Linked DNA regions of Tamandua tetradactyla. The protein of the gene in region 1 interacts with the protein of each later gene in a pairwise test. Links are inferred from orthologs where the notes say so. Each region holds a gene or a part of one and is shown in the gene's direction. Other genes may lie near its edges.

Region 1 (10,431 bases):
GATTACCAAACGTGTTCACCAGTATCCCTGCTCACTATTACCCCTTGCATCCAAGATCATTTTCCTTCTGCATGGAATCCATCTTTAAGAATTTCCTATGGTGAAATTTGTTTAAAAGTGTCTTTATTATAACTTTCTTGAAAGATAGTTTTTCATTGATGATTTTTAATGTTTTAACTTTCTTCTTTCTCTGGGCCATTATTTACTGTTTGGATGTTCTGCAATGTTTTGTTGAAACTTGGACATGTTGATATTTTAATGTCTTATCACTGGAATTTAAACACTGAGGCATCTGTTCCTTAAGCTTGCATCGAGCTACTGTTATGACAGAGCTCTCTTTGAATACCAGGAGCTGACCAAAAAAAAAAGAAGAAGAAGAAGAAAGAGGAGGAGGATGAGAAAAAAGAAAACACCTTTCCTTGTCTTTGCAGATTGCTCTGTGCAGAAAAGCTCTGTTTCAGAATTTATGAATACAGTGAGTTTAGACAACAGCTCCAGGCTAAAGCCTAAGGGTCTCCCTAAACCTTTCTATGTATGCATCTTGTCTTAGGCATGTGCTTGTGGACCTAGGAATTTCCCATTTACACAGACAAAATTGTCCCTTTTTCCTAGGACACAGTTTCTTCATAGTCCTGGACACCACACTACATGTCTTAGAGACAGAAATCCCTTTCCCTAGGCAGCATGACTTGACTGCTCTCTCACAGCATTTCGTAGCAGCATTCCATGAGCTGCCTTCTACACACTGGACAAGTTCTGGAACCCTTAGGCACTATCAGACAGGTTGGGTGAGACATATATGTTCCCAGTATGTAAATGAGGGTTGCTCTGCTTCCACTGGAACTGGGACTAGGGATTTGCACTGGGGAGCACCAGCTGGCTCCACACCTCTGGTGAGGGGTGGGGAAGGGGTCAGTTGGGGTATCAGGAAATCCTCCTGCTTTTAAGTTGCCTTTTCTTGATTCCATACTCACCCTGTTACTGCAGCCCTCTAACTGTTTTTTCTGGACCTTTGAAAAGATGTTTCTGCCAGTTCTTGCTGGTTGTTCAAATCTTCTGTTGGGGAGGAAGCCCTGAAGCACCTCACTCAGCATCTTGATTGGGTGTGGGGCCAGAAATTTAAGATGTGTTTTAAAGCATGCCTGGGTGTTTCCCTGGCAGAGAAGGAAGCCACTGGTTTCGGTACAGGAAAGAGCATGTACCAAGTCACAGCGGTTAGAAAAAGCAATGTGCATTCAGAAAACTTAGGAATTGCAGTCAGCTTAGAAGAGGAGGAACCTTGGGGCAATCTGCAGCAGGAGACCAGAGAGGTAACTTGGGTCCAAAATGTGAAGGGACCTAAATGCCAAGGGCCAGCAAATTATAACCTATAAGCCAAGTTCATCCCATGGTCTGCTTCTGTAAAGTACATGAACACTGAACGGTTTGTACATTTTAAAAGGATTATTTTTTCTTTATGTTTTGTTTTGTTTTGTTTTTCTAAGACAAAGAAGAATATGCCACTAAGACCCATATGTGGCCCAGAATGCCTAAATTATTTACCATCTGCTATTGCACAGAAAAAAGTTTGCCAACCCCTGTGGTAGGCCATAAGAAGTTTAGACTTGATCTTTTAACTGATGGGCAGTTTGTTACATGTACTCAAGTAGATAAAGCAATGATCAGATTCAAGTTTTAGAAGGAAAAATCTGGTGGCAGATTAGATTGATTTTAGTTGGAGTGGAGTGGGGAGTGGCAAGAAAATGGATGAAGAAGTCAGTTGAGAGGCACTGCAATGGTCTAAAGGGTGATGTGATCTAAATACTTGAAGAGCATCAAGGAGAGATTGGAGAACACAACTTAGGTAGTGCAAGCACAGAAGAAATCACTGCTTTACTGTAAAAGAAAAGGGAAGGGAAAAATAAAAAGTGACTGTGACATTTTTTTTTTTCATTTGGGTTGCTTCAAAGATAGTGTGGAATTGTTTGGGATTTGCAGATCATCCAAATGCAGACATTCAGCAGGGAGTGACAGTTGAGATTGTCCAGGGAGCGTGATGTGTTCTGTAGTTTGTTATTTACTTTTGCATTTTGTTTTTCTCAATTCTGATTAAAGTGTTTTTAACAAATGAAGTCTCCAAGGACATTATGGAAAGGTGGAAATCAAAAACGAATAGGGGTCAATTGTTTCATTACAGCTTCATTATGGATTAAATGGGAAATGGTCTCAATTTCAAATAAATTACTCATAAGTTTTTGGAACACTAGATAGTGAAAAGTTGGGGACTACCCTAATTATGATGTATAATTGTAGATAAGAGGATATTGAGGCAGTTAGATAGGAAAGGAGAGTAGGGGAAGCGACCCTAAGACCTTATAGTAAGACGTTCTTTTTGGCCTGTGCATACCTAGCCCTCATTTAGGAGGGCACTGAAAAGAACCAATGAAAAGTACAGCTCATCCTGAGACTCAGCATCAAAGGACTGAGAAAAACCCTAGAATGAGCTGAGAATTAACATCAAGAGACTGAGAGAACCTCTTGACCAAAAGGGGGAAGAGTAAAATGAGACAAAGTGTCAATGGCTGAGAGATTCCCAACAGAGTTGAGAGGTTATCCTGGAGGTTATTCTTACGCATTAAGTAGACATCAATTGTTATCCAAGATGTAATGGAAAGGCTGGAGGGAACTGCCTGAAAATGTAGAGCTGTGTTCCAGTAGCCATGTTTCTTGATGATGATTGAACAATGATATAGCTTTCACAATGGGATTCTGTGAATGTGAAAACCTTATGTCTGATGCTCCTTTTAGCAACTATATCAACAGAAGAGTAGAACATATGGAATAAAAATAAATAATAGGAGGAACAAATGTTAAAATAAATTCAGTTTCAAATAGTGGTAAATGAAAGCGAGGGGTAAGGGGTATGGTATTTATAGTTTTTTTTTCTCTATTATCATTTTATTTCTTTTTCTGTTGTCTTTTTATTTCTTTTTCTAAATCGATGCAAATGTACTAAGAAATGATGAATATGCAACTATGTGATGATATTAAGAATTACTGATTATATATGTAGAATGGAATGATTTCAAAATGTTTTGTTTGTTAATTTTTTTTTAATTAATAAAAAAAGTTAAAAAAAAAAAAAGTACAGCTCATCAATCCCTTATTAGCACAATCAGAAAGGGAAGGGCTTCTCCAAGTCTTTATAATGCAGGAATCCCAAGCTCAGAGCCCTTCTCCTTTGGAGAACACCCACGTTCACTCCCCCCCACCCCACCCCGTTCACCCCCTGTGACCACGGACTTACACCATGTGTTAAACTTCTTGGCTTTACACACTGACTAGTCCTCGGATTCTTTGGCTGTATACACTGACTGGTCCTTGAATAATTTCCTGTGACTAAGTAAAAAACCCTCATGGTACCAGCTCCTGGTTGAGGTCTTTACCTCTCTGAGAACTCCTGGGGGCTCTCCAGCACCAATATCAGTTCTGACTGAAAAGAAAATTTACTTCCACTTCTTAAATTGGAAATGAAAAAAAAAAAAATCAACCCCTTGAGACCCATCATGTGGATCACAGCTCTTCAGAAAGTCTGTATATACAATTTACACATTAAACCACTTGTCATTCAGCCAACAAAATGACAGCTCTTTTGCTACTGGAAAAGAAAAAATAAAATCCACATTAGAACAATACATTATACAACTAACTTCCTTAAGGTGAGGCAAGGTGTATCATTGCAAGATAAAATGGTAAAGCATTAAAAACTTCCTTCTAGGCCTTAAGTTCTTTAGAGAAATGATTGATTTTTAAGCCATTTTTTGGGTCATTTTTTAATACATATAAATACATATAATACATATAAAGTCTATTCATTGGCATCTTAAGAATAGTGTTTTGTTTTCATTCTGTCCCTCATTTCTTCATAGCCAGTTGATTCTAAATGCCATTTCCTTGACAGAAAAGTGACTTCTTTCTGTAGTTGGCTGACATTGCTAGAAGTATTTAAACACGTTATTCGGATTTCATTGGCCAGTCAACCCTCCCTTTTGGTCTTTCACTTTATATTTTCCTTTTTTCTTGTTTTCTCCTTTCCTTTCAGTGGTTATTTCTGTTTGTCAGCACCTCAGTAGGAGAGGGTGGGCAATGGGGAGGAAGGACTGTATGAACTAAAAAATAAATAACTTTAATTTCAGTGAGATCTCAAGTCATTTCCCCTAAAGTCTTTTTGCTTCTGAAAAGTGGAGTCTTAGACAAAGTAACTGTCTTTTGCAGTTCTAAAAGAACACTAACATCTCCAGACAGTCTTAGAATTATATTTTGGGAGCTGCAAGCTGAGGAATTTGAGAGAACCAACTCTTCCATTTAAAGCTCCGGGATTTGAAAAGCCAAGTGTAATCATGCAAGTTAATATTTTAAGTAATTTGGTCTATACCAGAATACCTTGTTTTTCCATTAAAACTAACTCGGGAGCTGGTTGCTGTTTAGTTTAACTGTACAGCGAATGCGCTTGAACTTCATGTTTGGGCGCTGGTTTATCTCTGAACTTTGTTTATCTGCTTGGTGATCAAGAGTTCCTCATCCTACAGAATGCCATGGGACTTCGGGATGAAGAACTTGACCTCATTATTTTGTCAGGTTTAAATAATAGTAATGATGATGATGATTTTTAAAATGGTTCTCAGGCTGCCTCACTAGGGCTCCTAGCAAAGAATGTGTGGAGCAGACGCTGAAAAAAAGTTTCCAATTTCCTGCAGCAGCGCATTAGACAAATTTTCTGCCAGTTCGTGTGAGCCCTTGCTTCCTTAAAGCAGTGTGGTTTGAAACAAGGCTTCTCTTACCACTTTTTAAAAGCCTTTTTCCTCAGGGGCTTGAATTCTGATACAGCGTTCAAAATGCAAAGATGGTTTTCCCTTTTCACCACTATGTGACAGCCCCCAAATCTTGAGGAGACTTGAAACACAATTCAAGAGTAAAAAAAAAAAGATGTTCAATCCAGGGTGGGGGGTCGATTGGGCCTGGGGTGTGGAGGGCAACGGACTACAACTCCCACAAGCACTCGCAGGACTGCGCTTCGACCTACCTTTCTTCCCCACTCTACCCACACACCTACCCCTGAGTCTCGTCTTGCGCTTGCGCAGAAGTCCCCGCGCTGGCGAGGAGGGGGCGGGGACAAGACAACGTGCCTGAAGGAGGCGGAGAAGGAAAAAAAGAGACCATAGACTTCTTCCTCGGCCTAGAGCGGCCGTTACAGTACAGGGGAGAGGAGGGCAGGTGGGGACCACCCTCAGAACCGGCCGCCGGCGGAATAATGGCGACCCGGAACCCCCCTTCCCAAGGTGAGCAGCCCGGGTCCGAAGTAGTTTCTGGGACGCGGCTCACACCTCCCGACCTTGTTCTCAGGGCGGCTCTTTCATCCCCTCCCGCAGGATCCTTGGGGCTCTTTTTTTGAGGCCGCCCCTTTGAACACCCCCTCCTATGTGGACATCTCCCTCCGGTCGGCGGAAGGCAGGCGGAAAGCAACCCCCTCCTCCAACACTGCTCCACCCCTTGCCTTTCTTTCAACTCTGTCTGCAAACGTTTTATTTTAGTCTGACCCTAAAGTGATTTCTTCTCGCCCGACTGCTAACTTTGACCCTCCCTCAACCCATACACTCCCTGCCACCCCCCACCCCCCCATGATGAAAATGGAGTCTGCTCTGGCTCTAACTCTTCTGAAATTTAGGAGGTGACCCCTTACTCCTGTGTTAACTCTGACCTGGCCCGGTCCCTTGGCTCCAGACCGGCCCCTGGGGTTTCGGGAAGAAGATGGGAATGATATTACTAGGCCTTTTACTCTTGAGGCCCGAGGCTCAGGGTTTGAGTTTAACAAACTAAGCATTTTCCACCTGGGCGTTTTTAACTATAGGCCTAACGTAACAGTGAATGGTTAACAGGTTTTTTAAAAAAAATGCGTAGGACATTTCTGACATGATTTACTCAAAATATTTTTTCCATTTTGTATTTTGAAGAATATGAAAGTGATGACGACTCTTACGAAGTGTTGGATTTAACTGAGTATGCAAGAAGACATCACTGGTGGAATCGAGTGTTTGGCCACAGTTCCGGACCTATGGTAGAAAAATACTCAGTGGCCACTCAGATTGTAATGGGTGGAGTGACTGGCTGGTGAGAAGAACATCTTTTTCATTAATTTTCATTAGGAACTTAGCTTGACTGCTGCCTTTTTGTACATGGGCCAGACTCACTAAGCATACAGTGGGTTTACACTGTTAATCTTCGAAAAGCACTGTGTTGACCTTTTCTCTGTGAAGAAATAATCCTCTTTCTTCACAGGATAATGTGAAGAAATTTGATAATCCTCCTCCTGAAACCCACCACTGTTCCACTGTTCCTCCTCACTCTTCTTTTGATGATATATTTTCCCCTTTTTCAATTTCAGCAAACTTAGTGCATCTAATAAAGTGATAGTGGTTAGATAGGAAGAACTATATGAGAAGAGTTTATATGTAAATAATTTTTATCACCCAGTGCTACTACCTGGAAAAACGGAGAAACATGCGCAGTAGAATGGATCTCTAGAATTGTCAACCCTGTAGACAGCAGTGTGAAATCTTCAGTGAAAATCATTGATGATCCTAGATGCTACTGCTGTTTTTTGTGGACTTGTCCTGACTATGCCAGTGCTTTGAAGAACTATTGTAGAACGTTGGTTTTGTGTTGGCGTTAAAGGGCTGACTGCTTATTCTGTAATAATTTTGTGTAGTGCATTAAGGAGGAGCCACTATTCGGCATAAACCTAACCAGTTAACACTTCAGACTACATGACTACATAATTGCTACTATGGATCTAATTCTGATATTCTGTGAATAAAAGATTAGCCAAATAGCAGAGGTCAGAAACAAGGGTTTGACCCTTTACTTTGAAAATATTTATGACCAGAGAGAACTTTTGAAGTGAGGGTTCTTAACTTGTGAATAATCTTTCTTTCTTAGGTTCTAGGTTAAATTCATCTTACATTGACTTAATTTACATATTTACATTTGATAGATATAAAATTAAAATTTTTGATTTGTGTTTTACATGTGCCTTGGAACAATGGCTTATTGCTCCAGGCATTCTTGTAAATGTCATTTTATGGGTTGAAATATTCATTGTGAAGATTCTGTGATGGAGAGATGCAGTTTTTGTGTTCATATGTGTACTTATTAATGCTGCTGTGTGATAAAATCTGCAATTAGGATATTCCTGGTCAGGACCCTGATCATTCAGATGATTCTCCACAGGTTGGTTGTACCTTGATCCCCTTAATTTTCAGGGTCTGGCCTTCTGCTTATATAAGCTCACAATTTGGTCCCATAGGTGGTTGGTTAATGTGAGTCAGGGCCTGAAGCCCAATCTTAAAAAATACAAAAAGATAAAATTGAGAAATAGCATGATCAAACTTTATGTAAGCTTGATGAGAATCTCTGTAAGTGGCAGAAATTTGCTTGGAGAGCCTAGGAACAGCAGGGGGATTAGTGGGTCCATTTTAGTGGCTAATACCTTTAAGCAGTGGATACACGTTTGTGGAGCATGCTGCCCAGGGTATTCTTAAAACTTGGCATGTTTGCCCCCCCCCCCCCCCCCCCTTGTGGCCTTCCTTGCTGACTCCTTTGCTTAGGGGTTTGTTCTCTGTAGTAATGCATGTATTTGGGTTTTAGCCAGGTGTTTGCCCAGGAGCTCTTACATTTTACAGGTGATTTGTTGCAATGACTATAGATTCTGTCTAGTACATTTTTGCAATTTTCTTAGGGTATAAAGCTGATGCAATATCGTGGCATACATTAAGGAGGAACAGTTAATAGATGTTAGCCAGTTAACAGTTCAGGCTAATTCAGGACATGAATGGAAGACTGAGGACATATTTAGCTGTAGGGAACTATAGATTTTTTTAGCATAATAAGCTAAATATATATATATATATATATATATCTTTGTGAGTGGTTGCTAGGAGAGACTGAAAGTGGAAAAACCAGTTAGAGGGCCCTTAGCGTAGTCCAGAAGCAGGTAATGGAAGTCTGAACCATTAGCAGGGTAATGATTTTCTGGAGAATGGGAAAGGAGAAGACATTGTCAAATAATGTCCTGAAGCTTGAATGTATAGAATGTGGCAATCAATTGGACCAAGGAGAGAATGAGGAAGGCAGTCTGAGATGAATATGAGGTGTCCAGGCTGGAGAGCAGAGCTATCACTTATAAGTTGGGACCTTAGGCAACAGTTGATTTCATTGAAAAGGTGATGTTTGCTTTGGGATATTTTGAATATGTGGTTCTGTCTTAAAGATGCCCAGCATATAATTGGAAATGTAAGAGGTAGAAATCTGGGATTCTTTTGCACAGAAGGGATCTGGAATTCTGAAGGGAATATGTGACCTTACTGAAGAGAAAGTCAACCACAAAAGTAATATGGGAGCTGATACTCTTAGGATAGATGAGACAAAACAGGTTTACTATAAGGAGAGAGAGATATAGGTAAGGAAAATGAGAAATATGTACTGCAGTAGTCATAAAACTAGACCTTAAAGGAAAGCTTTAGATAAGTAGAGCTAGGCAGAACCCCCTAGAAACAGGGCAATATATAGCACGAGCAAACGTGATGACTCATTTGGAAATTAGGTTGGAACAGAAGGTTTGGGTAGAGTACAGGTTGGCTAGGTATATGGAGCATCTTGTATTAAAAAAACAAAATGAAACACTTTTATTATGGGAAATTTCAACTTAAACAAAAGTAGAGGGAAGGGTATAGCGAACTCTTTAGTACCTCATCATCCAGTTTCAGTAGCCAATCTTCTTTCCTCCAAGTTGCACCTCTTCTTTTTACCATCCCTTATTTTGAAGCAAATATCAGACATTTTCAATTGTGCTTTTTTTTTTTTTCACCGTCCTTTGCTGTTTATTATGCACACATACAGTGGGATTTTTACCAAGGAAAAATAAAAGTCTTTATGGGTAAAATACTAGTAAAGAAGAATGTTGGATGGAACCCATTTAAAAGCAGAATTTCTTTACTCTGGGAAACCAACTTCCTAGAGAGTCTACAATATCAACTCAGGGACACTCCAAAAGCTTTCCTGGAAAGGAGAAACAGACTTCTTTTTACTTTTGCTGTTGGGCTGGAGAAACTATCTCCTTTGTTTCTTATTTATTCTAAATCAAAATATATCCCCCTCCACAGAGAAGTTCTGAAATGTTAACTCCCAATGAATCAGACACAGAGCCAAATCCCCAACGGGCACTCTACAAATATGAATTTCTTAAAGTGGCTGTCAGGCGGTAAGATGGATAAGAGATACTTGATCCCTAGTCATAAGAAAAGCATATAGTGTATTGGGCCAAGTCAAATACATTTTGTGCTTTTTGGCAAGTCAGTCAATAGCTAAAAAAGGCCCCCATTACAGATTCTGATAAAGTTTTCAAGGACAAAACCGAGAGAATATGTATACAGAACTTTGATGAGCCTTTACAAATGCCTATGTAGTAACACACTGCTCACACACATGATTCCTGAGAAGGGCTTCTTTGTTTCTAGCTCTAATTTAAAAAAAAAAAATTTTTTTTTTATTAACTTTTGAATTTAAAAAAAAAATACTACAACAAAGAAAATCAAACATTCTTAACATATGATCATTCCATTCTATATATAATCAGTGATTCACAGTATCATCACGTAGTTGCATATTCATCATCATGATCATTTCTTAGAACATTTGCATCAATTCAGAAAAAATAAATAAAAAGACAACAAAAAAATTCATGCGTACCATACCCCTTACCTCTCCATTTCATTGATCACTAGCATTTCAATCTAAGTTTATTTAACATTTGTTCCCCCATTATTTATTTTTATTCGATATGTTTTACTCCTCTGTTGATAAGGTAGATAAAAGGAGTATCAGACACAAGGTTTTCAAAATGACACAGTCACATTGTGAAAGCTATATCATTTTACAATCATCTTCAAGAAACATGGCTACTGGAACATAGCTCTACATTTTCAGGCAGTTCCCTCCAGCCTCTCCATTGCATCTTGGATGACAAGGTGATATCTGCTTAATGTGTAGGAATAACCTCCAGGATAACCTCTCTACTCTGTTTGGAATCTCTCAGCTGTTGACACTTTGTCTCATTTCACTCTTCCCCCTTTTGGTCAAGAAGGTTTTCTCAATCCCTTGATGCTGAGTCTCGGCTCATTCTAGGATTTCTGTCCCACGTTGCCAGGAAGGTCCACACCCCTGGGAATCATGTCCCACGTAGACAGGGGGAGGGTGGTGAGATTGCTTGTTGTGTTGGCTGTAGAGAGAGGCCACATCTGAGTAACAAAAGAGGCTCTCTTGGGGGTGACTTTTAGGCCTAAATTTTAAGTAGACTTGACCTATCCTTTGTGGGGTTAAGTTTCATATGAACAAACC
Region 2 (11,317 bases), on another chromosome or scaffold:
CTAATAAATGAATTCAGCAAAGTGACAGAGTACAATATCAACTCCAAAAATCAGTCGTGTTTCTATATCCAAGCAATAAACAATCAAAAGAAGAAATCAAGAAATTCTATTCACAGTAGCAACTAAAAGAATCAAATATCTTGGAATAAATCTAATCAAGGATGTAAAGAATTTGTACTCAGAAAATACAAAGCACTATTAAGAGATCAAAGAACACCTAAATAAGTGGAAGGACATTCTGTATTCACAGATTGGAAGGCCAAATATTATTAAGATGTTTGTGCTAGTTTGAATCTGCAGTGGACCCCAGAAAAGCCATGTCCTTTAGTCCTCATTCAATATTGCTGGGTGGGAGCATTTGATTGTTCCCATGCAGATGTAACCCACCCAGTTGTGGGTGGTAACTTTTGACTAGATGAGTTCCATGGAGATGTGTCTCCACCCATTGACAGTGGAGTTGCTTGCTGGAGTCCTTTGGGGGAGGAAACATTTTGGAGAGAGTTTCTTTTTGGTAGAGCCACGAGAAAGCCAGCAGGCGCCGCCATGTTTGCCATGTACTCTTCCAGCTGAGAGAGAAATGTTGAACGTCATCGGCCTTCTTGAACCAAGGTATCTTTCCCTGGATGCCTTAAATTGGACATTTCTATAGACGTGTTTTAATTGGGACATTTTCTCAGCCTTAGAACTGGAAACTAGTAACTTACTAAATTCCCCTTTTTAAAAGCCATTTTGTTTCTGATATATTGCATTGCGGCAGCTAGCAAACTAGAAAAATGTCAGTACTACCCAAAGAAATGTACAGATTCAATGCAATCCCAAGAAAAATTCCAACAACCGGGCGGGCCACAGTGGCTCAACAGGTAGACTTCTCGCCTGCTGTGCTGGAGACCTGGGTTCGATTCCCGGTGCCTGCCCATGCAAAAAAAGAAAAAAAATTCCAACAACGTTCATTGCAGAAATGGAAAAGCCAATCATCAAAGTCAGATGGAAGAGTAAGGGGACCTGAATAGTTAAAGCCATCTTGAAAAAGAAGAATGAAGTTAGAGGACTCACACTTCTTTTTTTTTTTTTTTTTTGTTTTGTTTTGTTTTGTTTTGTTTTGTTTTGTTTTTTTTTTCACTTTTTTTTTAATTAATTAAAAAAAGAATTAAAAAAACAATTAGAAATCATTCCAATCTACATGTACAATCAGTAATTCTTAATAACATCACATAGTTGCATATTCATCATTTCTTAGTACATTTGCATCGATTTAGAAAAAGAAATAAAAAGACAACAGAATAAGAATTAAAACAATAATAGAAAGAAAAAAAACAAAAAAAAACAAAAACAAAAAACCTATACCTCACATGCAGCTTCATTCAGTGTTTTAACATAATTGCATTACAATTGGGTAGTATTGTGCTGTCCATTTCTGAGTTTTTATATCCAGTCCCGTTGTACAGTCTGTATCCCTTCATCTCCAATTATCCCTTCTCTTTTTTTTTTTTTTTTAATTAACGGAAAAAAAGAAATTAACCCAACATTTAGAGATCATACCATTCTACACATGCAATCATTAATTCTTAACATCATCACATAGATGCATGATCATCATTTCTTAGTACATTTGCATTGGTTTAGAAGAACTAGCAACATAACCGAAAAAGATATAGAATGTTAATATAGAGAAAAAAATAAAAGTAATAATAGTAAAATCAAAACAAAACAACACAAAACAAAACAAAAACCTATAGCTCAGATGCAGCTTCATTCAGTGTTTTAACATGATTACTTTACAATTAGGTATTATTGTGCTGTCCATTTTTGAGTTTTTGTATCTGGACTCACACTTCTTGATCTTAAACTTATCATAAAGACACTACAATCAAAGCAGCAATGTTACTGGCACAAGGTCAGATATATAGACCAATGGAACTGAGAGCTCAGAAATCAGTCCACTCATGCATGGCCAACTGATTTTTTTTCCCTTTTTTTTTTTTTTTTTAGGCATTGTCAGGATTCATGATGTGAACCCGGATCTCTGGCATGGCAGGCAATGATTCTGCCACTGAGCCACCTTTGCACCTCCCTGGTCAACTGATTTTGGCAAGGGAGCAAGTAGCACTCAACTGGGAAAGAATTGTCTGTTCAACAAATGGTGTGGGGAATGATCCATTTGCAAAAAAAACAGAAACCAAAATAAAATCAAGGAGCAACACACTATCTCACACCATATACAAAAATCAACTGAACATGGAACAAAGACCTTGATATAAGAGCTAGAAGTATCAAACTCCTAGAAGAAAATTTAGGGAAGCATCTTCAGGACCTTGTGTTAGACAATGGTTTCATAGGCTTTACACCCAAAGCACACACAATAAAAGAAAAAAAACAAATAAATGGGATTTCATTAAAATAAAAAACTTCTATTCCTCAAAGGACTTTAGGAAAGTAAAAACACAACCTGCACAGTGAGGGAAAATATTTAGAAACCACATATCCAATAAAAGTTTAATATCCTGAATATATAAAGAAATACTTCAACTATGTCAACAAAAAGACAAACAGTCCAATTTAAAAATGGGAAAAACACTTGAACAGACATCTCTCCAAAGAAAATATACAAATGACAAATGGCCAAATAGAAAGCAATGGCTGAATGATGCACAACAATATTATTAACCATCAGGGAGATGCAAATCTAAACCACAAGAGAGACCCCCGTTTTACATCCATTAGAATGACTGTGTGGTAGTTAAATTCAGGTGTCAACTTGGCTAGGTGAAGGTGCCTAGTTCTATTGCTGTGGACATGAGCCAATGGCACGTGAACCTCATCTGTTGCTGATTACATCTGCAGTCAGCTAGGAGGCATGCCCGCTGCAATGAATGATGTTTGATTTTATTGGCCAGTGCTTAAATGAGAGAGCTCAACATAGCACAGCCAGAGCAGCTCAGCATACCTCATTTCAGCACTCACTGCTCAGCTCAGGCCTTTGGAGATGCAGAAAGGAATCACCTTGGGGAAAGTTGTTGGAATCCAGAGGCCTGGAGAAAAGGCCAGCAGAGATTGCCCTGTGCCTTCCCACGTAAGAAAGGATCTCAGTTGAAAGTTAGCTGCCTTTCCTCTGAAGAACTGTATGTTAACTAAATAGATCCCCTTTTATTGAAAGCCAATCTGTCTCTGCTGTATTGCATTCTGGCAGCTAGCAAACTAGAACAGACTGCTATTCCAAAAACAGAAAATAAGTGTTGGAGAGGATGCAGACAAATAGGAACACTCATTAATTGCTGGTGGCAATATAAAATGGTACAGCTGCTGTGGAAAATAGTTTAGTGGTTCCTCAGAAAGCTAAGTATAGAACTGCCATATGACCCAGAACCCCACTACTCAGCATATACCCAAAAGAATTGAACAGATATTTGCACACCAATGTTCATGGCAGCATTATTCATTATTAAAGATGGAGACAACCCAAGTGCCCAACAACTGATGGAATGTATAAGTAATATTCATACAGTAGAATATTATTCATTCCTGAAAAGCAATGAAGTCCTGATGCATGAGACAACATAGATGATTTTTTTTTATGTTTTGCATGTGCAGGCTCTAGAAATCAAACCCAGGTCTCTGGCATGGCAGGTAAGAATTCTGCCACTGAGCCACCATTGCACTGCCCAACATGGATGAATCTTGAAGACATCACGTTAAGTGAAATAAGCCACACACAAAAGGCCAAAAATTGTATGATTTTACTGATATAAAACAATTAGAACAAGCAAACTCATAAAGTCAGAAGCTAGAATATAGTTTACCAGGGGATTGGATGGGAATAGGGAATGGGAAATTAAGGCTTAAAATGTTCAGGGTTCCTATCTGGAATGATGGAAATGTTTTCATAATGGGTGTCAGTAATGGTAGCACAACATTGCTAATGCAATTAACAGCACTGAAATATCTGAATATGATTAAAAGGGGAAATGCTAGTTCATATCTATGGTAATAGAATAAAAATATTAACAAAAATCCATGGTACTACACTACCCAAACAGTAAACCTTAAGTTGAACAATGGACTATAATTAATAGAACAGCTATAAAAATGTGCTATCATCACTTGTATCAAATGTTTCATACCAATGCAAGGGGTTGGTGATGGTGTGCTGTATAGGAATCCTGTGTTTCATGCATGATTGTTCTGTAAATCCACAACTTCTCTAATAAAATAAAATTAAAAAAAAAGATTGATAGGTACTCACCATTCAGTAGCTCAGATTATATTAGTTGAAAAAAGGATTATATTGTTTTCTATATGGGAATTAAAGTAGGCTCCATGGAGGTGGTGCTAGGTAAGCCAAACTAATATTGTGATAACAGTTTGAAATCACCCATTATTTTCATGTGCAGCAAATGATGTATATATATATATATATTTTCACATGGGCAGGCACCGGGAAACGAACCCGGGTCCTCCAGCGTGGCAGGCGAGCATTCTTGCCTGCTGAGCCACCGTGGCCCACCCAGCAAATGATATTTTAATAAGAAAATACTACAGAAAAGAATATTGTTTTGTATATGGGCTTTTGGTGTTGCACCATTTCTTCCCAATATGACATTTAATTTTTTTTTTAAGGATTGATAGACTGTTGTTGATAGGCTGGCTTTTTACGGGGTGATCACTGAGGCAGTTGATGAATTGAATGGGGTCTGACTGCTATTTGTTACCAGGGCCACAAGGCAATCACTACTTTGCTAAGAGTTGGAACCTACTTTTTTTTCAAAAAGCAAAAGAATGTCTCTGATAAATCCTTAATTATGGCTGACATTTGTGAAACATCAGTGAACAAAATTATTTCATTGCTTTTTCCTCTGAAACGTCCAGGCTGCCTTCTGACCACTGGAGGGACTGTGGGACCAAACACACTTAGAGAAATCTTGTTTTAGCCTAAAGTTTTGGAGGGAAGGGGTTGTGCCTTGTTTATTTTTACAGTCTTGAGGCTAGGCCTAGCTCATAGTAGGTGTTTTCATTTGCTAATACTGCCAAAAATGCAATATATTGGAAATGGGTTGGTTTTCACAAAGGGAATGTATTAAGTTACCAGTTTACAGTTCTAAAAGGCCATAAAAATATCCAAGCTAAGGGTATCCAGAGAAAGATAACTTGACTCAAGAAAGGCCAATGGCTTGGAATACCTCTGTCAGCTGGGAAGGCAAATGGTTAGGGTATCTGCTGGGAAGGCAAATGGTTAGGGTATCTGCTGGTCCTTTGGCTTCTGGATACCCTGGGGCATTTTCTTTCTGCATCTTCAAATGGTCTCTGTGCGCGTTAGCTCTGAAGCTGTTCCGAAATGATTCCTTCTTAAAGGACTCCAGTAAGCAGATTAAGGCCCACCTTGAATGGGCGGAGATGCATCTCCATGGAAACCACCTAATCAAAAGGTCCCACCCACAATTGGGTGTCTCACATCTCCATGGAAACAACTTAATCAAAATGATCCCACTCTACAATACTAAACCAGGATTAAAGAACATAGCTTTTCTGGGGTACACAACAGTTTCAAACCAGTACAGTAGGTACTCAGTTTATAGAGGAATGAATGAAGTGTTAGAAGCCACAATCCTTAGGAATGGCAGAAGATAAAAGGGAAGCATTAGGCAGACAAGAAAACTCAAAGGCTTCACTAGGTTGCCGTGTGATGTAAATGTTTGGTTGATAGTACCACATTAATTTAGGTCATAATGTGTGTATCTTATGTGTTCAGGTGGGTATCATATCACATCATTGTCAGAGCCCCAGATATCTGCTCCAGAAGGATCATGAAGATGAAAACTGATGAAAGCATTTACATTAAAAAAAAATTTTTTAGTTAAACAGTTTTATTCACACACTATACCATCCATTCTAAGTGTACAATCAATGGCCCTTGGTATAATATGTATTCACCACCACAATCAATATGAGAACATTCTCATTGCTTCCGGAAAAAAACCCCATATTCCTTATTCCCCCATTATTGGCATTTAGCTTGGGTATAGTGCCTTTGTTACAATTAATGAAAGAATATTATAATGTTATTAACTATAAACCTTAGTTTACATTAACTATTTTTTTCTGTATACTACCCATCTTATTAACATCTTGTAATAGTGAGGTACGCTTGTTCTAGTTCATGTAAGAATTTTATTATTTTTTATAATTAACCACCGTCATTGTCCACTCTAGGTTTCATTAAGTTATACAGTCCCAGTTTTTATCCTCCAGCTTTCCTTCGGGTGACATACATTACCCCGGCCTTTATCTTTCAACCATACTCACGCTCTGCTTGTTACTCTCATTTACAAGCACTGTATTGTGCTTCCATCACACAATATTGTGCTATCCATTTCTGAACCTTTACAATCAACCTTATTAAGCATTCTATATTTCCTTAGCAAGGGAATTCCCATGAGATTCCCTTGCCCAATCTCTATCCCTTTTCAATGTCCTGGTAAAATGTGCTCTCAGACTTTAACTCCCAGAGTTTGCTCATTATAATTAGTTCATATTTGTGAGACCACACGATATTTGTCCTTTAATTTTTGGCTTATTTCGCTCAACATGATGCTGAGGGCTTCTTGACCAGTTCAGTGAATCTGAGTCTTGTGAGAAGGCAGTTTCTCTTGGCTCCGGAGTTGACACCTCCACTTGCCGCAGTCCCAGCCGGTTTACCGCTGTCCTCCTTGCTCTATTTCGTATATGGAGAAGGATGGCAGTCAAAACAGAAAAAGGGACCACAAACGTTTGTAGACCCCACAGGCCTTCGGACAGCGCTTCCTGTCCTTGTGAGTGGGCGGGTCCGGGAGAGAAGAGGGCTTGGTCTGAGGGTGGGCCACGAGGCCCAGGGTGCTGGCCAGCTGGCGAGACGGAGCCGGGCGCACGAGCCGCGCGGGGCTCGCATTGGCTCAGCTGGCGCCCCTCCTCGCGGGGCCGACCCGGTGCCGCCTTCAAAGAGGCTTCTCCCAGCGGCGACGACCGAGGCCACCTCAGCGACGGGGAAACATGGTCGAGTACGCGCGGCTCCCCAGCCGTCTGGCGCTGATTCGCCTCCGAAACCCGCCAGTCAACGCAATCAGGTAACAGGCTCGGTTATCTCCAGCCAGGGGCAGCTGCGGACTCGCCCGTCGGCCTGCTCCGGAGGCTCGGCCTCTCCCCTGCTGCTTTAACGTGAGAAAGACGCTAATGCGGACTGAGACCTGGTGCGCGCCCGGGCTCTTTGCATAGGTTAGCTTGCTCAGTCACCGCTGGGAACCCGTCCCTCTTTACTAGGAAGGAAACGGAGACTGAGGCCCATGGCGGCTGTAGGTGGGAAAGGCTGGGATCCAACGCGGTCTGTAGACGCCAAACTTTTCCGCTTCCTTACAGCTTCGGTTTTTCTGGCATGGATTGATAAGCAATGTGTTATCAAGGACTTTAGCACTTGGACAATAAAGAAGGTTAGCTTTTGTGTGTGAAGGTTCACTTGTGTGTGTGTGTGTGTGTGTGTGTGTGTGTGCGCGCACGCGCGCGTATCAACTCAGTGAGTAAAGGGGAACTGTGTCCTGGCCTAGAAATGCGGTTATTTCTCCTGATCTGTTCTAAACCTCAGGGTCTTAGGGCATCAGTGAAAAACCTATGTTAGAATTACACTTTAAGTAACATTTTTCTGAAAAGATTCTGTGCAATTTATCTTCTTTTATAACAGCACGGGGTAAAGTTCAACTTCCTTGTGAAACTCTTTAGCCCAGATCTGTGCAAAATACTTAGAGCATTACTTTTCAATGTGAGATTAGTGCTGTCGTCTTGAAAGTTAAAGAATTATTTTATAGGTCTCCATATCTCTGGAAAAAGTATACTGATACATCGGCCTCAAGAAAAGTCAGCCACCCATCTACAGGGAGTAAGATCAGAGAAATTATCATACACAAAGAATCATGTTGTATAAAGTGTAGAAAGATCTTTTTTTCTTTCTTAATTACTTGCCTGCTGAAGCTCTTAATCACATACCTGCTGAAATAAAAGAGACTGAATGAGGAGATCTGCTGATTTTAAAAATTTTTTGTATTTATTTATTTTTAATATGCCTATGTTTATTTGCTGGTCTGCAAATAGAAATGTCCTATTTTTTAGACTTTTAATTTTGAAATAAATTCAAGCTTACAGTTTGCAAAAATAATACAAAAACAATACAGAGAATTCCCAAATACCCCCACACAGATACCTAGATTTACCAACTTTGAAAATTTTGCCACGTTTGCTATATCGTTCTCTCTCTCTCTCTATTTCTCTATCTGTTGTATAAACATTTGACAGCACATTGCATATATCATTCTCCTTTAACACTGAATACTTCCATGTTTATTTCCTAAGAACAAGGATAGTCACTTAAGTAACCCACATTAAGTACAGTTAAGTTAAAGAAATTTAACATTGATAGAACGCTTACAACCTATATTCTAATTTTTGAATTGTCTCAAAATGTCCTTTGTGGCATTTTCTCCTTCCTTATAAGATCCAGTCCAGGATCATGTATTACACTTAATTGTCATTGTCCCTTTAATCTTATGCTCGCTCCCTCTCTCTTGCTCTCTCTCTCTCCTTTTAATAAATTGTGGTAAAAAAATAACCAAACAGAAACTCTGCACCCATTATACGTTAACTCCCCATTTCTACCACCCCAATCCTCATTCTTGGTAGCCTGTACTCTACTTTCTATCTCTATAGATTTGCATGTTCTAGTTATTTCATTTAAATTGAATCATAATATCTGTCCTTTTGTGTCTGACTTATTTCACTCAAGGTTCATCCACGTTATAGCTTACAACATAACTTAATTACATTTTATGGCTGAATAATATTCTAGTATATGTATATACCACATGGTGTTTATCCATCCAGCTGTCGATTGACACTTGGGTTACGTTGACCTTTTAGCTATTGTAAATAATGCTGTTGTGAACATTGCTGTACAAATATCTGTTCAAGTCCCTGCTTTCAGTTCTTTGGGTATATACTTAGAAATGGGGTTGTGGGGTCATATGGTAGTTCTATGTTTAACTATTTGGAGAGCCATCAGTTTTCTAAAGTGGCTTCACCATTTTACTTTCCTACCAATGAGATATGAAGATTCTTATTTCTCCATATCGTTGTGAACACTTGCTATTTTGCCTTTTTAAAATAATAGCCATTCTAGTGGATGTGAGTTGGTATTTCATTGTGGTTTTGATTTGCATTTCTCTAATGGCTAAAGAATCTAACATCATTTCATGTATTTATTGGCCATTTGTCCATTTCCTTTGGAGAAATAACTATGCAAGTTGTTTGCCCATTTTTTTGTCAATGATTTTTTTATTGAGATAAAATCATCCAGAGTATACAATCAGTGGTTTACAGTATCATCGTAAAGCTGTGCATTCATCATTACAATAGATTTTTGAACACTTTAATCCAAAAACAAAATTAAGAATAAAAAGAAAAAGAACACCCAAAACATCCCATACCCCCATACCCTCTATTGTTCATTTATTTTTTTGGTCTTTTTTTTTCTTACTCGTCTGTCCATACACTGGATAAAGGGAGTTTTAGTAACAAGGTTTTCATACTCACAGTCACACCTTAAAAGCTCTGTAGTTATTCAGTCATCTTCAAGGATCAGGGCTTACTGGATAACAGTTCAACAGTTTCAGGTGTTTCCCTCTAGCTACTCCAATGCACCAAAAACAGAAAGGGATATCTATATATTGTATAAGAATAACCTCCAGAAATACTTCTTACTCTATTTGAAATCTCTCAGCCTTTATTTTGTTTCATTTCTCTTCCTTCTTTTGGTCAAGAAGGCTTTCTCAATCCCATGATACCAGGTCCGGGCTCATCCCTGGGAGTCATTCCTATATAGGGGAAGGGCAGTGAGTTCATCTGCAGCATTGGCTTAGAGGGAGGCCATATCTGAGCAACAAAAGAGGTTCTCTGGGGGTGACTCTTAGGAATAATCATGAATAGGCTTAGCTTCTCCTTTGCAGGAATAAGTTTCATAAGGGCAAGTCCCAAGATCAAGGGCCTGGGCCCATCAAACTGACAGTCTCTAATGCTTGTGAAACTATCAGGTTTAATATTTCCACCTTTTCCCCCAGTCTCCCAAGGGGGCTTTGCAAATACTTTTTAATCTTCTGCCCAGCTTACTCTGGGTTGTATTGGGGCATCACACCAATCTGTACAAACTAACAAGATTTCACTCCCTGTTCAAGGTGCCATGCAATTATGGTTTTCAAATAAGCTGATCATATAGATAGTATGCTACCAAAAATATAAATTTTGCATTGAATAAATATCTTTTCCTTTAGCCTCACACAGAAGTTGAAATTCTTAAAATACGGTCAATATTATCCTTTACTGTAGAGTCTAATTTACCTTAGTCCTACCCAGATCAGCTTCATTCATATCTCTAATTGAAATCTGATAACTTCCTCAGTATTTTTTTTTCTTTTTTTTTTTTTTAACATGGGCAGGCACCAGGAACTGAACCCGGGTCTACAGCATGGCAGGCAAGAACTCTGCCTGCTGAGCCACCATGGCCCTCTCAGTATTTTTAACAATTGCTGTATAGGGTACTGCTGATGTTCACAGCCACAGAACTCTAACTCTGAATCTCAAGTGTCACACAAATTCCCAAAGTTCTATGGAATGACCAGGTACTACACAAAGAGCTCAGCATCTCAGAATTTAGAAATAACAGTTATAACTCTGAAATAGATGTGACTGCTATAAGAGCTTTCAATTGAGGAACTATTACAGTAGGCCTTCCCATGATAACCTGTGCTCTCGAATTAAATTCTCAGAGTTTGTACACTATAATTAGTCCATATTTGTGAGGAATTATAATATTTGTCTTTTCATTTTTTGGCTTATTTTACTCAACTTACTGTCCTCAAGCTTTATTCACGAAGTTCCAGCCTCACAACTTCATTGCTTCTTCCAGCCATTACATCATACAATAGTCCCTTGTATGAACGCACCACAGTTCGCCCTTCCAGTCTTCAAATGTACCCTAAATTGCAAATCACAAACACTGCTACCATAAACACCAGTGTGCAAATGTCCATTCATGGCTTTGCTCTCACTCCTCCAAGAGTACACCTAACTAAAGAGTTGCAGGATCATATGGCAAGCCTATCCCTAGCCTCCTGTGGAGCTACCACACGCCCCTCTGGATAGGCTGCACCTCTCAGCCTCCCTACCGACAGTGAATAGGTACATTTCTCTCCGCATTTTCTTCAGCACTTGTGTCTCTCTATTCATTTTTAAAGTTCTATTCACACATCAT
Region 3 (10,802 bases), on another chromosome or scaffold:
TCGTGGTTCCATCATCAGAGATGGGCTGAGCTTAGCTCCAGTCAAACTCCATGGGCTGAACATGGCAGAAGGTGGCTCTTTGAAGAAAAACCAGGGTCTCTGACCCAGGGTGGCGTGGTTGCTCATGCGATCTTTTGGGGAGTCATCTTGACTCTCCTTCATCCCTAAGAGATGGGGATTTCTCCTATTTCATCTTCATTTCTGGGACATCAAATTCAGCCTTGGTGCTTTGGCCTGGACTTCCTGCCCCACTAAATCATACCCTGTTCAATTAGGACTTTCTGAGAGAACGAAAATACTTCTGCTTCACTCGGGCTTGCCTCTGAGCCTACACACATCCTTCCTTTCCCTTCTGCCAAGATGGGCAGTTTAGCCTTCCTCCATTTTCAGGCTCCGAAGTGTGGCCTCCTTTAGGCGGACCCACCTATGCCATCTCTCGAGTGCTTTTCACTTAGTAGCTTTTGTGTAACATTTGTTAAGTATTTCCAACTGGGACCTCCCCAGTCACATCTGATGACAAGTGTGATCAGAGCTCAGATTGCAGTTTGGAAGGGCATCTGGGACCAGGATGCAGATGGCTCAAACAATCCTACCTGAACTTGGTCTCAGTCTCTTAGCACTGCTTTTAGAGAATGGAGTTTAGGCCTAGAGGCAGAGGCAGTTGGTGTAGCAGTCCAAGAGAGGGCTGATGCCAGTCTGACCAGATCAGAGCAGTGGAGTTGGCATTCAAAGGGGATGTCCAGAATGAGGAGGCATTGCAAGGCTGGCTGGTGAGCAAGAGAGGAGTGAAGGATGAGTTTCCAATGAGGGTTTGCTAAGAGACATCAAGGACAAAGCTCTGGGTCCTAGTCCTCGATTTGCCACTGTGTTGCTGGGCCAGCCCAGTTCTCATTCCCAAGAAATCTTAGACATCATACAGTTCAACTTCTTCACTCTGCCCCCATCTTATAGATAATAAGCAGAAGCCCAAAAAGTTACAGCTACTCACCTTTTATTTGGAAAATGAATGTGAACCCAAAATTTGCTTTCCACTGAAAACAGGAAACTTCATAAACCTATAATACATCCTCAACCTAAATAATCCATTCAAGAAACAATTCCTTAAACCAATGCTTATTGCTCACCTAAGTGTTAGGTACTATTCTTAGAGTAAAAAAAATAATAATAATAAGCTTTGACTGTCATGAGCTGGTGAGAGAGAAACAAATAAACAAGTAAACTGAGATAAGAAACTTGAAGAGGATAATTGGTAAGGTGACTTAGGGGCTGCTTTAGCTAGAGGAGGTGACATCTGAGGTGGGACCCGAATGATGACAGGGAATAAACCATGAAGAAAGCTGCAGTGAAGAATGTTACAGGGACAGGGAAAAACATCTGCAAAGACCCCAAGATAGGAACAACTGCAGGACATTTGCAGGGAAGGAAGGCAGTGTGGCTGGGAGAGAGCAAGGGAGAGGAAAGTCATATCACAAGAGAGTCAAAGAGTAGGCAGGGGGCCAGATCAGGCAGGCCTTGTGGGCCAAAGAGATGATTTTTTTTAAAAAAATAGTTTTATTGGGATATAATTAAACTACCATGCAATTGTCCATTTAAAGTAGAAGTTTGGATGTTATTCTAAGTGCCACAGGAGTTAATAAGGGAATATTAATTTCTGATAAATTATTTTTTCAGGGACCATATGTTTTATTTATTAAAGTAAACCAAACTCCAAGCAGAATTGTAGCTGCTTACTAGAAAATTTTTAATGCTTTTTGAAAGAAAAATATATACATTACTGAACTCCAATGACCGCACAAATATAAAATGTGGATGACATGGTTAAACACTGAGACAAGTAGGATAAAGTTTTGGGTTGCCACAAGCTCAGAATAATCAATAGTGTGATGGTGCATGATTTAGTGACAGAAAAATTAAACTAGGTCTGGGCCCCAGGACAAGTCACTTAAACTCACTGTAAAATAAAGTTAAGAAGAACACATAATTCAAAAGATTGTTTTGAGGGTAAGATTATCTCTGTGAGAATTTTTTGCTGATGCATATTTTTAAAAGCTTGATCTGGCTACTGTGTGGATGATGGATTTGACAGGTATTAGGAATAGGAATAATAGCTGGGAGACCCACCAGAAAGCTCTTGAGGTAACCTGGACCAACAATGCCACCAAGTAGACCCCCAGGGCCTACTTGAGGAGTGGCCACATTTGGGGTATATTCTGGAGAACCAGCAGGGCTGGATAATGGGCTAGGTGAACAGGGCAAGGGAAATGGTGGTTCTGTTTATTGACATATGTAAGGGATGAGGGGGTGGGAGAGAAAAAAGAGTACTATTTTGGACACTGTAAATGGTGAGCACCACAGTGGCAGCACCCTTCAGCTGAGAAAGCTCACTAACAGTTCAACTGTTTAGCCAGGTACAGGGGAGGAGAGATTTGTGAAGCCCAGCCCCCACCCTGCTCAAGTCACAACGTATTCCCAAACAAGCAAAACCAGGACATATGTCTCAGTGTACCAACTGCTGTAAGAGTGTCTGTCAGGCTGTAATGGGCTACAAATAACAGACAACTCTGAAGCATTCTGGCTTAAACCATAAAGACAGTCATCATCTCCTACCACAAGGAATCCAGCCTTCTAGGATCCTCTATGCTTTGGCCTCCTCTGGGTTCTGGCCTTGTCATCCAACTGGGAGCAAGAAGGCTACAGTGTTTCCCGCTCCCTGCCAGAACCAGCCACATGTGGAGTCAGAAAGAGGTCCATCGCTTCCAGTGTTTCCTTCTTTAAAGTGAGGAATTCTTTTCTGGAAGTTTCCTCAAACAGATCTCCTCTTACCAATTATTGGCCCCAGAGGAGTCATATACTCAACCCTAAACAAATGCCCTGGCAAGGACCAGGGGATTCCAGGACCAGCGGAATTGTATTAGACCTGTCAGGATTTATTCCTGGAGCTGGGAAAAGGGCAGCCAGACCAGGCCAGACCAGGCCTTTTGTTTTGATGAACAAAATCAGGGCCCTGCCTGCAGGGAGATGAGAAAATTGCTGCTAATTTGGAGCTAAAATGTCTGCCATAGAGCAGAATGAATGGCCTGCTGCGGGGGTGGAGGAACCCAGAAGCCCTTTGATTTCAAGAGCACCTTTTTTAAGAGTTAAAGATTCTGTACAAAGAACCCTTCTTTCTTTAACTGTAATGACAAAAACAAAAATGTTTAAAAGAGAAAATCTCTCTCCTCCTCCAAGGAGATTCACAGCCTGCCGAAATCACAATTGTTTTCAACTTCCTTTGTCCTAATCTCTTTATCCCCTGCCTTCTCCCATCCATGGAGCCGTTCCTCCCTGGTTCATTTTATGTTGTTCACAAGCATTTTTACAGGTACCTGGCTCCATCTCTGCAACTCTGAGCCTGCTCCATCTAGCGGATATGTCACAATTAATGCTACCATATCTACATACTGGACATTTGTGATCATTCTACTCTTTCATTGTATTTGTCACAGGCATGGCTGGGCATCTTTCTTTTTCTTTAATTGTGGTACTATATATATATATATATATATATATATATATAAAATTTGCCTTTTTAATCATTTTCAGGTATACAAGTCAGTGGCACTAATAACATTTACAATGTTGTGCTACCATTACCAGCATCCATTACCAAAACTTTTCCATCACCCCAAGCAGAAACCCTATACCCATTAAGCAGTAATCCCGCGTTCATTCCTCCCTCTAGCCGCTGGTAACCCCTAATCTACTTTTTTTCTTTATATATTTCATGTAAGTGGAATCATACACTTTTTTGTCCTTCTGTGCCTGGCTTATTTCACTTAGCATAATATTTTCAGGGTTCATCCATATTATAGCATATATCAGAACTTCATTCCTTTTTTCTGGCTAAATAATATTCCATGGTATGGATAGACCACATTATGTTTAACCATTTATTTGTTGATGGACACCTGTGTTGTTTCTGCCTTTTTGTTGTTGTGATTAATGCTGCTAAGAACACAGATATAAGAGTATTTGTCTGAGTTCCTGCTTTCAGTTTTTTGGGGGTATATCCTAGGAGTGAAATTGTCAGGTCATATAGTAATTCTATGTTTAACTTTCTGTGGAAAGTCTCTTTTGAAGAGACTTTCTTATACCTCTAGGGAAATTCCCTATCAGTCCTGCTTCCCCAACATCAAAGTTGACAATATCTCTCTCAGCCTCCTCTGATACAAGAACACTTACATGATCAAGGCTTCCACAATCAGGCACATCCACGTGAGACTTTGAATCTGTCTGGCTTTGGGGCAGGGTGGAGGGAGGTCACTTTCTTGATGCAGAAGTGGTTTCAGTGCCGCGAGCAGTAGCAGACAAGTCTAAGTCCTGGCATTTAGTATCTGGAGACAGTGGTAGCAGCAGCAGTTTTCTTTTCAGGTCAGTTCAGCAGCTATTTATCCAGCCCTCCCCATCCCTGCCCAGAACTTTTTATTTATTCATTTATTTATTTATTTATTTATTTATTTATTTAATCACTTGCCCAGTACTCTTTAACAAATCCCTCTTCTGCTTAAACCAGCCAATATAAATTCTGTTACCTGTAAATTAAGATTTCCGACTGATCCATTCACTGTTATAAAAGATGTTGTAGTTAACAGCTCTATAATATTTTTTTCTTCCTTTGGACTCTTAGCCCTGTGCTTCTGAAACTTCATTCAAAGGCACCCCCTTCAAAAATTTTTGCCACCCATAATATTATTTACCGAATACTTTTTAAATTGACTGATCTTTTGAAACTCAGCATTTACTTGTGCCAGGTTTTTCCTTTTTTTTAAAACAATACACACACACAAACACCATTAAAAGAGAATCCATTAGTTCACATACCACCCCCCAAAAAATTCATAACCCACTAGTGATCACAAAAATCTTAGGATAATTTCCAAGAGTAGAGTGACAGAGGTAAAGGGTAGGAACAAAGAAAACAGTTTTACACTGTACCAGCCCTTTCTAAGAAAAGGTGATAGTTTGGAGGACCAGGAGGAAAGCGGTGTTGGCTGGTCTCTTGGTTTATCTGAACCATCCATAAAATTATAGTTCTGTGATAGTACTGTACATTGGTTTAGTGCTATGTTTTGGAGTTTTGCTGCATTAGGTTCCTTAACCTCCCTGATCCTCAGTTTTCTCACCTGTAAAATGGGAGAAAGAACAGATCCTACTATACAGGGTAGCACTGGAAGCAGTAATTGTGTACCAATACGAAGCATCTGCACAACACCTGATACCTAAAAAGCTGTAGTTCATAGTTGTCGAAACTCCTCTGTGCTTAATAAAGGGAGGGTGTGTGTGTTATAAATATAGTTTCCCTGATAGTGCCCAGTCCCTCTGAATCATAATCTCCAGGTAAGGAAGCCAGTCAACATAGTCACAGGATCTAGTGAGTTTCAGAAACTTAATCGGGTTTAAGTAGCTGCTATTATTGTCTTGGAGTAATGTTGGGAAGCTGCGATGAAACGATGGATGTGAAAGTTAAAAGTTATTACTCATTCATTCAGTCAACGCATTTATTGAGCACTCATTGCATGCCCCGCCCCGCGTTAGGTGATGGGGATAAAGCCTAGAACAAGATTCAGTCTGCCGTTAAACGCCCCCCTAGGTTGGTCCTTCACCCTCATTTATAAAATTGAGGCGGGAGTCGGGAGGTGGCGGTAGTGGTGGTGGCGGGGCGACGATCGGAGAGTTTCTCCCTGGGCTGCTGATGGTTTACAGGAATGTCTTGGGGACTGTGACCTGTAAAGTCGGGCAGTAAAGAGTCCAGGAAGTTGTGAGCCAGGGGGCAGCTATTTGTGGGGCAGGGACTATTCGACCAGGAGAACAGAGGATTCCGTCCCTGATCTCGGCCCGTCTCATTTCCTCTCAGGTGGATACTGTTATTTCCATCTAACGGATAAGGTTTAGCGGACAGAGGGCTTACACTTGATCCCACGCCCAAAAGGCGCCCCGGGCCTGGCCCTACCTCCACCTGCGGCATGGAGGCCGCCCGGCCTCCCGCGAGCCGCGCGCAGCAAGTCGGACTCCAGGGGATTCGCGGCCTCTCTCCGCCGGCCCGGGACGTTCCTCAACAGTCCGCGCTAGGGCCGTCTTTGCCTTTCGGAGGCCAGGACGCTGCCGACCCCGCGGGCCCTTACCTAACCCAGACTCAAAGTGCCCTCCCGACCCGCCGGCCTACAAACTACAATGCCCACGATGCTTCGGGGCCCTGGTGCATTGTGGGAGGGCCCTGGTGCCTCATGGGAGGGCCCCAGAGCGCACCAGAGAAAACTCCGTCGTCCCGCAGGCGGCGAGGCCCATGTGTATTGTGCAGACACCAGCGACCAGCGCCTTCTTAGAAGTCCTCCGTCCCGCGCCCGGAAGTTGGCGGAAACGACCATAGAAACTGGTAGCTAGAGGCGCCCAGCCTCGCCCTGCCGGCCCCTATTCTTGCCGGAAATAGCCTCCAACCCCAAGTGTCCTTCTTTTTGGCACTAGCGGGCTTCCGGTCCGGTGCCCGAGGCGCAAGCACGACCACAATGGCTGCTACGACCCTGCTGCGCGCGACGCCCCGCTTCAGTGGTGAGAGAGCAGGAAAGGCGGTGGTGGCTCAGGATGGGGGTGGGGGAGAGGCATGTGGGTGGTGTCGGGGTGGCCGGGCTCGAACCCGCGCTCTGACGCCAAGCCTCTGCCCCGGCAGGTCTCGGTGCCGGCACCACCTCAGTGCTGCAGGTTTTGTTCCGGCCGCCGAAGGCCCCGGCGCTGCCCGTCTTGTGCCGGGGCCTGGCTGTGGAGGCCAAAAAGAGCTATGTGCGCGACAAGCCCCATGTGAACGTGGGCACCATCGGCCATGTGGACCACGGCAAGACCACGCTGACTGCGGCCATCACCAAGAGTGAGCGGGCTTGGGGTGTGGCAGCTCCCGATCTATTGGCGGGACCTGGAGCCCAGAGTGGCTGCTGGAGGTGTTTAGTGTGACCCCAGAAGCCAGGTCTCCGGCGGGCGGTAGAATGGAGGATCCAGGAGACAGAGGTCCCCTGCTCACTTAGTACTTTGCGATGCATTTGGGGGACGCGCTCGCCGTGGGAGTACTCTGTAAGAGGAAGCTTTACCTTGGCTGACCCCTGGGGCCTTTTAACGTTCCTGTCTGATCCAAAGTTACCTCTGCTGCAGGAGTTCGAGACTTGAGGGAGGCGGAGAGAATCTTTCTTCCAGACTATTATTTGTTTAGGTGGGAGGGGCCTAGGGGCGTGGTCTGAGCCCTGCTTCCAGTTCTAGAATTTGAGCTGAGAGGGGGTTTCTTTCCCCCTCCGTTAGTTCTGGCGGAGGGAGGTGGGGCCAAGTTTAAGAAGTATGAGGAAATTGACAATGCACCGGAGGAGCGAGCTCGCGGGATCACAATCAACGCGGCTCACGTGGAGTATAGTACCGCAGCTCGCCACTATGCCCACACAGACTGCCCAGGTCACGCAGATTATGTCAAGGTGAGAGTTGCTGCACACGGCAGGGCCAGAACTGCTTCTTGTCAGGATAAAAGTTAGGGTTCTGTGGGAGGAGGTTGATAGTGGATGTGTGAGTTTGTGGCCGTGGGTAGTGGGTGGTGAGATGGCTGGGTCAGATGGATATGGAGCTGAGAAAGTCACTTTACTAGGCTGAGGGTTCCATTTCTTCCGCCCAGAATATGATCACAGGCACTGCCCCCCTTGATGGTTGCATCCTGGTGGTGGCAGCCAATGACGGTCCCATGCCCCAGACCCGAGAGCATTTATTACTGGCAAAACAGGTATGCAGAGCTCATATGGGGGTGGAATGAGTAGGGGTTGGGCCATTCCAGACATTTGCCCTATCTTTGTCCCTGTCTCCAGATTGGGGTAGAGCACGTTGTGGTGTATGTGAACAAGGCAGATGCTGTCCAGGACTCTGAGATGGTGGAACTCGTTGAGCTGGAGATCCGGGAACTGCTCACTGAGTTTGGCTACAAAGGGGAGGAGACCCCAGTCATCATAGGCTCTGCCCTCTGTGCGCTTGAGGTGAGGGTGGGGACAGCAGGGATTGCTGGTGGAGGATGGGGCTGCATGGGCAGGGGCTCTGCCCCGAGTCTGGGCAGACTTGTGCTAAGTAAAAGCAGAATGGAGGTTTCAAGAGTCCTTCACCTTCATCTCCCAGCAACGTGACCCTGAGCTAGGGCTGAAGTCGGTACAGAAGCTGCTGGATGCTGTGGACACCTACATTCCAGTGCCCACCCGGGACCTGGAGAAGCCTTTCTTGCTGCCTATAGAATCGGTTTACTCTATCCCTGGTGAGGACTGGGCTCGTTCACCACTCCCTCTCCAAGAGGCAGGCCCAGGGTCCCTGACATCCGTTCCTGTTCCCTCCCAGGCCGGGGCACAGTGGTGACAGGTACGCTGGAACGTGGCATTTTGAAAAAAGGGGATGAATGTGAGTTCCTGGGACATAACAAGAACATTCGCACTGTGGTGACAGGTATGGGAATGAAACCTCAGCACCCAGGGACTGGCTCCATGCTGACCTCTCCCCTGGCACATCCCTTGTGCTCTTCCTCTGCCCCAAACCCTCCTCCTTTATTCTTTCTCCTCCCTCCTTTCTCTCTCCTCCTAGGCATTGAGATGTTCCACAAGAGCCTGGAGAGGGCAGAGGCAGGGGATAACCTTGGGGCCTTGGTCCGAGGCTTGAAGCGGGAGGACCTGAGGCGTGGCCTAGTTATGGCCAAGCCAGGTTCCATCCAGCCACACCAGAAGGTGGAGGCACAGGTGAGGGCTCTAGGGGATGGTGAGCAGGGCTGAGCCAAACAGCCCCCTGCAGAGACAGTGCTTCCAGCCAGGCCCAGCTCTACCTCACCCTGCTTTCTTATCCAGGTTTACATTCTCAGCAAGGAGGAGGGTGGTCGCCACAAGCCCTTTGTGTCTCACTTCATTCCTGTCATGTTCTCCCTGACTTGGGACATGGCCTGTCGTGTCATCCTGCCCCCAGAGAAGGTATGCAGGTGTAGAGAGATGTGAAGGAGTGGAAGGGGTCCTCTTCCAGTCAGCTCTACCTTGTTTACAGGGAGGCCAAAGATGCCAAGATGTCTTGATTTCCTCGGGTGGAGGTGTATGGGTCTGGACCGTGTACCCTGGGCTGAAGTAGGCAAGCTTACTCTACCAGTATTTATCCCTAGGAAAATTAAAAGTTCCTGTTATTTATTATGTGGGACTCAGAAGTCCTGCAACTTCTACATAGCCCATAATTTAAACCAAAAAAAAAAAATTTTTTTTTCCAAAATGTTTTTCCAAAAACATAACCTTGGGAATACTGATCACTGGTCCTTTTTATGCTTTCCTGCCCTTGCATCTGCCCAACATCACCTGCTGCATTGTCCCATGAAACTGAACCTCTATAGTAGGCAGAAGCAGTTAAGGTACCCCAAAAGCCATATTCATTCCTGTCTCTTTTTCCTTCAGGAGCTTGCCATGCCTGGGGAGGACCTGAAGCTCACCCTCATCTTGCGGCAGCCAATGATCTTAGAAAAGGGCCAGCGTTTCACCCTCCGAGATGGCAACCGGACCATTGGCACCGGCCTTGTCACCGACACGCCAGCCATGACTGAGGAGGACAAGGAACTCAAGTGGAGTTGAGTCCATGGACTTATGCTCGGGTTTTGCTGCATTGGGGCTGTGCTGGCCAGTCTTCAGCTGCTTCAGGCATTCTAGGGCACAAGCTGAAGCTCTTCTTGTCAACTGAAAAAAGAGACAAACACTCTCCCTGTTCAGTAGGGGTGGCCTGCCAGCTGGGATAGGCCAATAAACTTGTATAAATAGTAAACTCACCTGTGTCTCTTATGCTTGTGCATTAGCTAGAGGAGCCAGGAGGGTACAAGAGGAAACAAGCCCAGGGGGTTATTAATCATCCTAGAGTAATTTCACTTCTGTGGTGTCACTTTTGATGGATTGCTGCTGCATACTTAATTCCAAGCACAGGGTTAGACGTTATAGAGACTATCGAATTAGTATTTTCAACATTTACTGAGATTTAACATTTATGTAGGGATATGTTATTATCGCAGCATATTTAATCCCTGCCACATTTATGCAGGGATTAAAATGCTGAGTAGATAAGAAACCTGAAAAGGACAGAGACAACACACCCAGGACCAGCAGCCCAGAGAAGGATTTGTGGCCTCAACCTAAGAGTTGTTTTGATGAACTCTGACAAGTCACCAACAGACTAGAAGGGAGCAGGACCCAAGGAAAGACTTAATCAAAACTACCTTTCTTTATTTGCTTTACCCTCCTCAATGTCCAACAGTCTGGGTCTTACAGGAAAATTTCTGGCTGAGTGAAGGCTAAGTTCCCTTTCAAAGCTGATTAGTGCTTTTAGAAATAAAAAGAATTATAACCAACTTAGTCCTTTCATGACGCAAAAAGACTTAGCTAACTTGGGCTGTACTTCAGACATTCCAAGCCCAGTGGAAAGCTTCCCACTTCCTGCCTTCCATTGCTCTCCAACCCCCAAACCCCCAATACCCAGTGGTTACCTCACACCCTGGGAAATTTACCCTGACAGCTAACCATTATTCCTGTCTGGTCTCAGCCAATGTTCTCTGGCTTTGAGTCCAGTGGAAATACCCCTACCATCAAGCACCTGTGTGCACCAGCCACATGCTCATCGCCCTAAAAGGGTGAGATTACCTCCATTTTACAGACAAGGAAACCAAGGTCCAAGTCAGAGTTGCAATTCCAAACTGCGTCCTTGAAAAAAACACCTGCTCTAGAGCCAATTCTATTTTCCGGATCTGGTTC

The links.
Region 2: the proteins of FUNDC1 (region 1) and EHHADH interact in binary tests that used the Homo sapiens proteins (3 or more experiments, as listed by UniProt). The two-hybrid records come from large-scale screens. The link is inferred for Tamandua tetradactyla from reciprocal best matches to the Homo sapiens genes FUNDC1 and EHHADH.
Region 3: the proteins of FUNDC1 (region 1) and TUFM interact in binary tests that used the Homo sapiens proteins (3 or more experiments, as listed by UniProt). The two-hybrid records come from large-scale screens. The link is inferred for Tamandua tetradactyla from reciprocal best matches to the Homo sapiens genes FUNDC1 and TUFM.

The regions. Positions count from the first base shown.
Region 1 is NC_135353.1:126,930,495-126,940,925, forward strand, and holds the start of FUNDC1 (FUN14 domain-containing protein 1), read left to right. Parts: upstream 1-5,151; 5' UTR 5,152-5,290; coding exon 5,291-5,318; intron 5,319-5,990; coding exon 5,991-6,147; intron 6,148-10,431. UniProt on the Homo sapiens protein: Integral mitochondrial outer-membrane protein that mediates the formation of mitochondria-associated endoplasmic reticulum membranes (MAMs).
Region 2 is NC_135336.1:3,927,516-3,938,832, reverse strand, and holds the start of EHHADH (peroxisomal bifunctional enzyme), read left to right. Parts: upstream 1-6,951; 5' UTR 6,952-7,020; coding exon 7,021-7,094; intron 7,095-11,317. UniProt on the Homo sapiens protein: Peroxisomal trifunctional enzyme possessing 2-enoyl-CoA hydratase, 3-hydroxyacyl-CoA dehydrogenase, and delta 3, delta 2-enoyl-CoA isomerase activities. Catalyzes two of the four reactions of the long chain fatty acids peroxisomal beta-oxidation pathway.
Region 3 is NC_135349.1:25,024,661-25,035,462, reverse strand, and holds TUFM (elongation factor Tu, mitochondrial), read left to right. Parts: upstream 1-6,275; 5' UTR 6,276-6,542; coding exon 6,543-6,585; intron 6,586-6,703; coding exon 6,704-6,898; intron 6,899-7,320; coding exon 7,321-7,487; intron 7,488-7,681; coding exon 7,682-7,786; intron 7,787-7,868; coding exon 7,869-8,033; intron 8,034-8,169; coding exon 8,170-8,302; intron 8,303-8,382; coding exon 8,383-8,487; intron 8,488-8,622; coding exon 8,623-8,774; intron 8,775-8,879; coding exon 8,880-8,999; intron 9,000-9,464; coding exon 9,465-9,638; 3' UTR 9,639-9,825; downstream 9,826-10,802. UniProt on the Homo sapiens protein: GTP hydrolase that promotes the GTP-dependent binding of aminoacyl-tRNA to the A-site of ribosomes during protein biosynthesis. Also plays a role in the regulation of autophagy and innate immunity.